2 linked regions of the Canis lupus familiaris genome follow. The protein of the gene in region 2 interacts with the protein of the main gene of each other region in a biochemical or structural test. Links are inferred from orthologs where the notes say so. Each region holds a gene or a part of one and is shown on either strand. Other genes may lie near its edges. The genes, in order: MEF2D and CABIN1.

Evidence for each region.
Region 1: the proteins of CABIN1 (region 2) and MEF2D form a complex in vitro, tested with the Homo sapiens proteins (2 studies listed by BioGRID). The link is inferred for Canis lupus familiaris from reciprocal best matches to the Homo sapiens genes CABIN1 and MEF2D.

Annotation. Positions count from the first base shown.
Region 1 is NC_049228.1:41,448,934-41,452,736, reverse strand, and holds part of MEF2D (myocyte-specific enhancer factor 2D), read right to left. Parts: intron 1,888-3,803; coding exon 1,644-1,887; intron 1,262-1,643; coding exon 955-1,261; intron 708-954; coding exon 696-707; 3' UTR 1-695. UniProt on the Homo sapiens protein: Transcriptional activator which binds specifically to the MEF2 element, 5'-YTA[AT](4)TAR-3', found in numerous muscle-specific, growth factor- and stress-induced genes.
Region 2 is NC_049247.1:28,608,723-28,613,311, forward strand, and holds the start of CABIN1 (calcineurin-binding protein cabin-1), read right to left. Parts: upstream 3,095-4,589; 5' UTR 3,015-3,094; intron 2,876-3,014; exon of another isoform or gene 2,623-2,875; intron 1-2,622. UniProt on the Homo sapiens protein: May be required for replication-independent chromatin assembly. May serve as a negative regulator of T-cell receptor (TCR) signaling via inhibition of calcineurin. Inhibition of activated calcineurin is dependent on both PKC and calcium signals.

The sequences.
Region 1 (3,803 bases), on a different chromosome or scaffold from region 2:
TCCAGCCTGATTCCCAGGCAGCCTTCCCAGCCTAAAAGCTCGGCCAGCATCCCACACCTTGGGGGTATAGCTCACGCAGAAATCCATGAGAGTGTGTGGTGTGTGTGCAGGGGCATGTGGGGGCCAGGCCTGCATATGCCCGTGGCCACAGAACAGCCCAGAAGCAGAGATCCTTTTCAGAAGCTGTGCCTCACTTCCCCCCAAAACACAAACCCACCCATCAAGCCGACTTTGGGGTTTCAGTCTATTGTAAGGGGTTTTGTTGTTTGGTAGGTTTTTTGGTTATTTCCCTCTATCTGGGGGATGGGGTGGGAGGGCTCCGCATGCAGGGCTCGACACCTGTCCTGTCCCAAAGGCCTATAGGGCTCCCCACCCCCTCCTGCAGCATATGTGTACAACGTGCAAAGTGTCCCCCCCTTCCCGCAAAAAACAGCCCCCCCCAGCCAGTAAAATGGTAGGGGGTGCAAAAAGAGGGATGGGAACATCCCCCTCTCCAAAGCCAGAATCCAAATTAAAAAAAATATAATAATAATAATAATATAATAATAATAATTATACACAAATGTAACCGTCAACAGGACATGGAGCACAAAAGGAAGTGGGGGTCGAGCGGGAGGAGCCCAGGGTGGGGAGGGGTGGGCGGTGAGATTGTCAACTCTTCGTCAGGGAGGCTGAGAGGAGGGGAGTGGGAATCGTCACTTTAATGTCTGCGGAGAGAGGAGAGAGATGGAGAACGGGGTGTCAGGGCCCCGGCCGCCAGCTAGGCGCCCCCTGTTTCCCTCTCCCCGCAGGGCCAGGACCCTGGGGGCAGGCCAGCTCTGAGGGTGCCTGAAGGGCAGACTGGCCTGCGGTGGGGCAGAGGCAGCCAGGAGGCCTCCCGGGTGGGGGCATGGGGTGGGGGCAGTCCCGGGGTGCAGCAGACACTGGCAGGCGGGAGGGGTGGCACTACAGTACCCAGGTGTCGAGCCGCATCCTCTTCACCGCGGGGCCCTCAGCCTCAGGCTCCGGGGCTGGACGCAGCAGGCCCAGCGTGGGCCCGAAGTCCCCCCGTCCGTCGTCCCGGTCCCCGGTCTCATAGGAGCTGCTGGCAGGGCTGCTGAGGCCATCTCCGGGCTCCGGGCGGGTGGCCGGGAACACGGCTGGCGGGGGCGGTGCAGGGCTCCGCTCCCGGCTGGGTGACACCGGCTCCGATTTGATGCTGATGTGGGGATGGGTGGTGACCGTGAGGGCGGCCCCCACGTGGGGCAGAGGGCTGCCCGGGCTGGGCACGAGGATGGAGCAGGGTAGGTACAGGACACAGAGGGGACGGGGTGTGGGGACGGGGGGTGGGGTGGGGAAGCGGCAGGGAGGGACAAGCACACAGAGGAGAGTCCAGGAGAGGGACCAAGTGCCGGAAGAGGGGAAAGAAGAGAAAGCCACGTTAGTTCTTTCTGTCCCGGGTGACTGGCATCCTGGTGCTCCTGGCTGGCTGGGGAGGGGCTCCGGGGGCAGGGATCTCCAGGCTGTGCTCAGTGTCCCATATCCTGTGGTCCCAGTGGGTGACAGAGCACTCCAGCCCCCAGCCCCGCTGAGCGAGGAGCCTACTCTTACTGCCCTCACCTCTGCCTCTCCCCACCCCCACCCCCCAGTGCCCCAGGACTCACATCAGGCTGCTGAGAGACACGGGGACCAAGTGGGGCTGTGGCTGTGGCTGCTGCTGCTGCTGCTGCGGTGGCTGGGGCGGCTGGGGTGGCTGCTGCGGCGGCTGGGGAGGCTGGGGCGGCTGGGGCTGGGGCGGCTGTGGCTGCTGCGCAGGCTGCGGCCAGGCGGTGACACCGCCTAGCGACAGCCCCCCGGGGGAGCTGAAGGTTGGGAGGGAGGAGAGCTCAGCGCTGCTCAGCTGGTAATCTGCAGGGGTGGGGGGAGAGGAGGGAAGCACTCAGCAGGCCCCCCAGCAGGGACTGCAGCTAAGGAAGCGGCAGGTGCCGTTCTCAGCAGGATAGAGGGGTGTTTTTTTAAAACACTGTTCACTCTTTTTTCCAGGTATAGGTAGCATTCTCAGAATGTCAACTCAAAAACAGAAGGGGAAAGAAGTCCAGAAGGTCTAACATACGTCTAATGGTCGTTTCTTCAACTGCCAAGTCTTCAGGAACCCTTCAGAGACAGAGTGGTAGTGAGGATGCCAGGGGACTGGCGCATTGAAGCGCACTGTCACCACCCTTCCACTCACGGCCATGGCCAGATCTTGGGACTGTCAACACGTAAGAGGAGGAGTGGCAAGGGTTTGAGCCATTGTGCGCACATCAACCCAGAGGACACACCTCTGGCCCTGGGGCCCTGAGGGGTAAAGGGGTGGCGAGGGGAACCTGCCCTCAGCACACTCGGCCAGGCTTCTGACACATTCCTCGTCAGGGGGTGCTCCTCACTTTCTACCATTTCTGTCTGAAGAACCTGATGTTTGCATGGCTGACACGGCGTGAAGTGTTCCCTGCTGCTGCCTGTCTGGGACAGTTTAGTAAAGATCCCCCCAAGAAGCCCAGGGTGGTGGCACTGTGGGGGCACACAGGCATACTCCACGTGGTACCCCTGCCACACCACCATGCTCTTACTCAAGGGGTCACGGGCCATGGCCCCATCTTTATGCAGGAAGACAGCACCACTGAGCAGCAGAACAAGAAGGTGAAGGGCAAGAGTGAGGCGGTCAGGAGTCCTGATTGCCTCCCTGAGGCCCCACGATCTGAGGCAAGTGACCTGCTCTCTACCTATGGGCCCTGCAGCCGTTGTAAGTGCGCACAACACTGTCTGGCACACAGGAGGCATTCCGAAGACTGGCCTGCTGCTGTTACTCATTCACAAACGAGGCAACTGCAGCTTATGTGTGGGGAGCCTTGGCTCCCAGCTGAGGCAAGACCCCTGCTCCTTGCTGACCTATGCTCCCACCTGGAGATGGTGACTGCTCGCCTCTGGTCTTATAACACTGTTAGCCAGCAGCTTTGAGATGCTCACACTTAAAAAGTAGAGCAAGGACATAAAGGAGCCCCAAGGCTCCACTACTTCCCATACTCATTTTATAGACAAGGAGGACACCCACCCTGGGAGACTGCACAACCTTGCCCATGACAGGGTGACGGGGGCTCCACTGCTCTCCCACAGGCCTCCCGGCAGCAACCAGGCCAGACCTCTGCAGCCAGTGTCAACAAGGGGCCAGGCCTGTCCCTTACCAGGGACGTCATCAGAGCCAGATCGCCCTCAGCCAGAACTTGAGCAGGGGCCAAGGACGATGAGCAGCGTGTTCACTGGGGTTTTGTTTACATATGGAGGGTATGTTTTCACCTGAAAACACCCACTGTCAAAACAGAGGCGGCTGCTGGGCTCCAGCAGCAAGAGGAACCAGAGCCCCTGGCTTCTGGAAGGATGTGAGGAAGCCCATACTTCCCAGCAGGGCCCTAAGGGCAGGCCCAGGGTCAGAATCTGCTTTCACACCAGATTGACAAATAGTCTAAAGTCTGGTCTTGCCAGGCACCTATTTGGGCTTCACGGACATGCGCTAACCTCCCCTCCAGCTTCAAGAGCCTGCGAGGCCCGGAGAAAATGGCAGGAAACTACCACCACGTTTAGGGATTCCCAAAAACAATGGCTCCTGGGACACTAGGGTAGCTCAGTGGTTGAGCATCTGCCTTTGGTTCAGGTCGTGATCCTGGGGTCCTGGGATTGAGTCCCACATTGAGCTCCCCACAGGGAGCCTGCTTCTCCCTCTGCCTCTGTCTCTGTGTCTCTTGTGAATAAATAAAATCTTTAAAAAAAAAAAAAACAAACAAATAACA
Region 2 (4,589 bases):
AGAAAAGAACTAATTTAAGTAACTGTGGAGAATAGTATCTTGATTGGATATTGTAAGGCTAAAGATAAGAACTGCGATTCAAGATTTGGGGCAGAGAGAACACAATATGAGCCTGTAACATCTGGAGGTGCCAGAAAATAAATAAATGCTCCCCAAAATTCTGAAGATTTGTTGAGAAGGCACAGCAGCTAACCTGAAGGAGATCCTGAACAAGCAAAGTCAGAACGGTGTACAACAAAATGATGGTAACATTAGACTTTTTTTTATTAGATTTTAACCAATGGAATAAAATGAATACCCCTGGGGCCCATACTAATGAGAGAAGGGATAGCTCTCCCTTTAATTGAATTTGAATTAATAAATGTAGAAGGGAAGAGAGTAATAGATCATTACCTTTAGGCACACACCACAGGGACCCACAAATGGATCCTAACTATGGTCAGTGGGCATAAATTTGTGAAAACCAGAATTCCCATCCTTCCAAAGTATTTCACCCAAGATACCTACTAACTGGACAGGGAAAGTTAGTAACTCTATAGGAACTTTTCAGTTGGCAGACACTAAACCAAGCAATCAAGATAAATATCACCAGTTATAAGACACATCAGCATCTTGAACTCCTTGGTATAATGCACTAAGGACAACACAATGTTTGTGTTATTGTGGCCCAAAACGCATAACTTCACATGAATCATGAGAAAACATTAGACAAATCCAAGTTGAGGGATATTAGACTGATATCTGATTACTGACGAGTACTCTTGAAAAATATCAAGACTAAGACAACACTAAGTAATCATTAAGGACTAAGGGACTGGGATGCAATGCCTTAATGACTCAGTGGTTGAGCGGCTGCCTTCAGCTCAGGCCATGATCCCAGGGTCCTGGAATCGAGTCCCGCATCGGACTCCCCACAGGGAGCCTGCTTCTCCTTTTTTTAAGATTTTACTTATTTATTCATAGACACAGAGAGAGAGGCAGAGACACAGGCAGAGGGAGAGGGAGAAGCAGGCTCTGTGCGGTGAGCCCGATGTGGGACTTGATCCCGGGTTTCCAGGATCACACCTCAGGCTGCGGGCGGCGCCAAACCCCTGCGCCACCAGGGCTGCCCCCTGCTTCTCCTTCTGCAGAAGTCTTTTGTGTCTCTCTCTGTGTCTCTCACGAATAAAGAAAGAAAATCGTTAAAAAAAAATAAAAAAGGACTAAGGAGACTAAGGAGCAAGAACTATTGAATAAAGAAAGGAAGAAAGAAAATATCTATTCTTTTCTCAGACTCCCAGCCCAGCAATCATATTATCCCAGAATAGCATATTTAGGAATTTAACCTCACAAATTTCCAAACTCGTTAGGCCATGGTTTCCACAGCCTTAAGAACATATGGTAAAGAAGAGCACACACTGAGTAACTCAGCACCCTGACCCAGTCAGTGATAAAAGGTGGCATTTCCTGACATGCTCTGGTCTGGGAGTCAGGAAGCCTAGATCTTAGGCTATGCTGTGGCTCTTCTTGGCTGTGTCATCAGCTTGGCCTAAGAGACCCCTCTTTGATTCTCAGTTTCCTCTACCCGATGAGGTTTTGGGCTAGACTAGGGGTCTGCAAGCTAACCTGCCTTGGAGCAAAGAATGGTTCTGACATTTTTAAATGGATGAAAAAATTTGTGACACACGAAAATCATATAAAAATTACATAAGATTCAAATTTTAGTGTCCATAAATAAAATTGTATTGGAACACTGCCACTCGTTTACCTATTGTCTCTGCCTGTATCCACTGTACGATGCCAGAACGGAGTAGACAAAGTAGGCCTCCTAAGCCTAAAATACTATTATAAATGTTTATTACATTCACAGCATACTCTGATATATAATTCTATTAATATTACAAATATTACTGCACTTACAACATAAGTCTGCCGACCTCTGAAGGAGACCACTCAAAGCATGTTTCAGGTTTTTCGTTTTTGTTTTTTTCTTAAAATTTTATTTTATTCATGAGAGACACACAGAGAGAGAGAGAGAGGCAGAGGACGTAGGCAAAGGAAGAAGCAGGCTCCACGCAGGGAGCCCCATGCGGGACTCGATCCCAGGACCCGGGTTCACAACCTGAGCTGAGAAGGCAGATGTTCCAGCGCTGAGCCACTCAGGCGTCCCAGATTTTTTCGTTGTAACCACAGTTATGAATCCCATGCAACGAATTTTAGCTGCGTGAAACCCCAAGTCCCATAGTTAAGCCCCATAAACCCATAGTAAGCCAGGCCCCAAAGAATTAAGTGACTCCGAAGTCACTTGTGCGGACACCTGAGTGTGTCAGTAGGCTGTGTGTAGCTGGGGTCCTCCTCCTCCTCCTCCTAGGAAGCAGCGCAGTCAAGATTTTCAGTCTAGGGGCGCCTGGCGGGCTGAGTCCTTAGGGCATGCAACTCTTGACCTCCTGGTGATAGGTTCAAGCCCCACAGGGGGTGCAGCGATTACTCAAAAATAAAATCTTTAACATTTATGTTTTTCTTTCAGTCTAGACTTGGGCTGGTCCACTAGTTGGTCGGCTGACTCTGGACAAGACCCTTCACCGCGCGAGGGCCTCCGTTTCCAGCCGTGTACACGGCGCTACGGGCAGCAGCAGCACTCACCTCTCGGGGCTGCTGTGAAGGTGAAGTCAAAGGACGCAAGCCAAGGGGCGAGCCCCGGGCTCAGCGCCGGGCAGACGCGCCGTCAATGGTGGCTCCCGCTGCCGTAGCCGAGAACCGCTCCCGACGCTGGAGCCCGGCCTCGGCACCCCAGGGTGACGGCCAGGGCGGGGAGGAGGCCCGGCCAAGCCGCTACCGCCCTCCGGCCTCGGTTTCCCCGAATGGGACACTCAGGCTACCGGGGGCGCCCCTCTGCCCCCCCGCTCCCGCGTCCACACCGGCCTCGGCCCGGCGCCCGCTGCCCCCCAGGCCCGCGCCCCTTCTCCCGCCCCCCGTTCAGCAGAGCCGCGCCCCCTCCCGGGGGAGGCCCCCGAGCCCGCCACCCGGGAACTCACCGGGCGTCTCCAAGGCAACGGCCTGCCCGCCTCGACCCCCGCGCCGGCCGGCTGCGCGCCTGACAATAAGGCGCGCTCCCATTGGCTCCGGTGCCGGCTCCGCTGGCCAATCAGCGAGGGCGCACGCGCCGCCGGGCGAGCGAGCTCCCCTGGCCCTCGCGGGCTGCGAGCGGCGGGCGCGCGAGTGTCCCCCTCCGGCTGCTTGCTGCGGGCGCGCCCCGACGACGTGGGTCGGGCTTCCCTGCTCCGCCGCTTGTAACACCTGGGAAACGCGGAGCTCGGCGCCTGGCCCTGAGCAGCCGCTAAAGGACGGTTTGCTACAACCTGGGGCAGGTGCTCGGAAGGCAGGGGACACTTGGGGACGCTTAGCGGGAACCGGGGGAGGAGGGGCGTTCCCCCTTATATATCCCGAGCCTCGCCTCGTTCTGAAAACGATTTGAAGCCCGAAAGGTACGGATACAATCAGCCATTGAGACCAAGATAAAGGGCAGCCCGGGTGGCTCGGGGTTTAGCGCCGCCTTCAGCCCAGGGTGTGACCCTGGAGACCCCGGATCGAGTCCCACGTCGGGCTCCCTGCATGGGGTCTGCTTCTCCCTCTGCCTGTGTCTGTCCTTTCTCTGTGTGTGTGTGTCTCATTAATAAATAAAATCTTAAAGAGACAAAGATAAAAGTCACACACACACACACAAAAAAGACGGGTAAATGAACGGGGGGGGGGGGGGGGGGGGGTGGAGGGAGTAACAGAATTCCAAAGCTGAAAAGAGGATTCAGCATTGAAAGTTTCCCGAAAACGGCCTTGGGCTGAAAGAGGTTAAACCCTTGGAAGCTCAGAGGTTTTTCAGGGAAAGGTTTCAAGAGTGGTTGGGATTCATAGTTGCTGGAGTCCAGCAAAAAAAAAAAAAAAAAAATTAAATAGGAATGAATGTTATGGCTTTCTCTTTGACCTTATGTAAAAGCGATAAAATCATGAACTCATAGCGTCAGTTCAGAACAATAAGCTTCAGTTGTGCACCAGGAGTTGCAAAAAATAATGGAGTCACTAATCTTGACATGGAGAGTACAGCCTTGGGGGGGAGGGCAGTGGACCCAGGCAGAAACAGGTGGTTTCAAGTTTAATAGATAACAAGCACCCCTGGATGCAGCTCTCACACCTGAGTCGTATCTTGAAATATGCTCTGGAGTGAAACAGGTGAAAAAAGATGGCAAGAGCGGCCCACGTAGCAAGGAGCTGTGTGGCAAGCTTTTGGAGGTGAGAAACAGTACAGGCAGTGTAGGATCACTCTGGCAGCACAGTATTACCAGGGGCCAAAGTTCAGGGCCACAGTGAGGATAATGTGGAGACAGGGAGGGGATAATCGTCCACAGCAACCAAATGACCTCATTCTCACTACAGTAGGGGAAAAACATTCAAAGTGGGACCAAGGCAGGAGGCTACTACCTTATGGTCCTGGCTAGAGTTAGGCCTGAATCCCTCCTTGGGCACTTTAACCATTCATTCAGATTCAACCCAGGAACATTCCCTGAGCCCCTCTGGGAAGCAGAACACCATGTTGGCAGAAGGAAAGAGCACAGGAA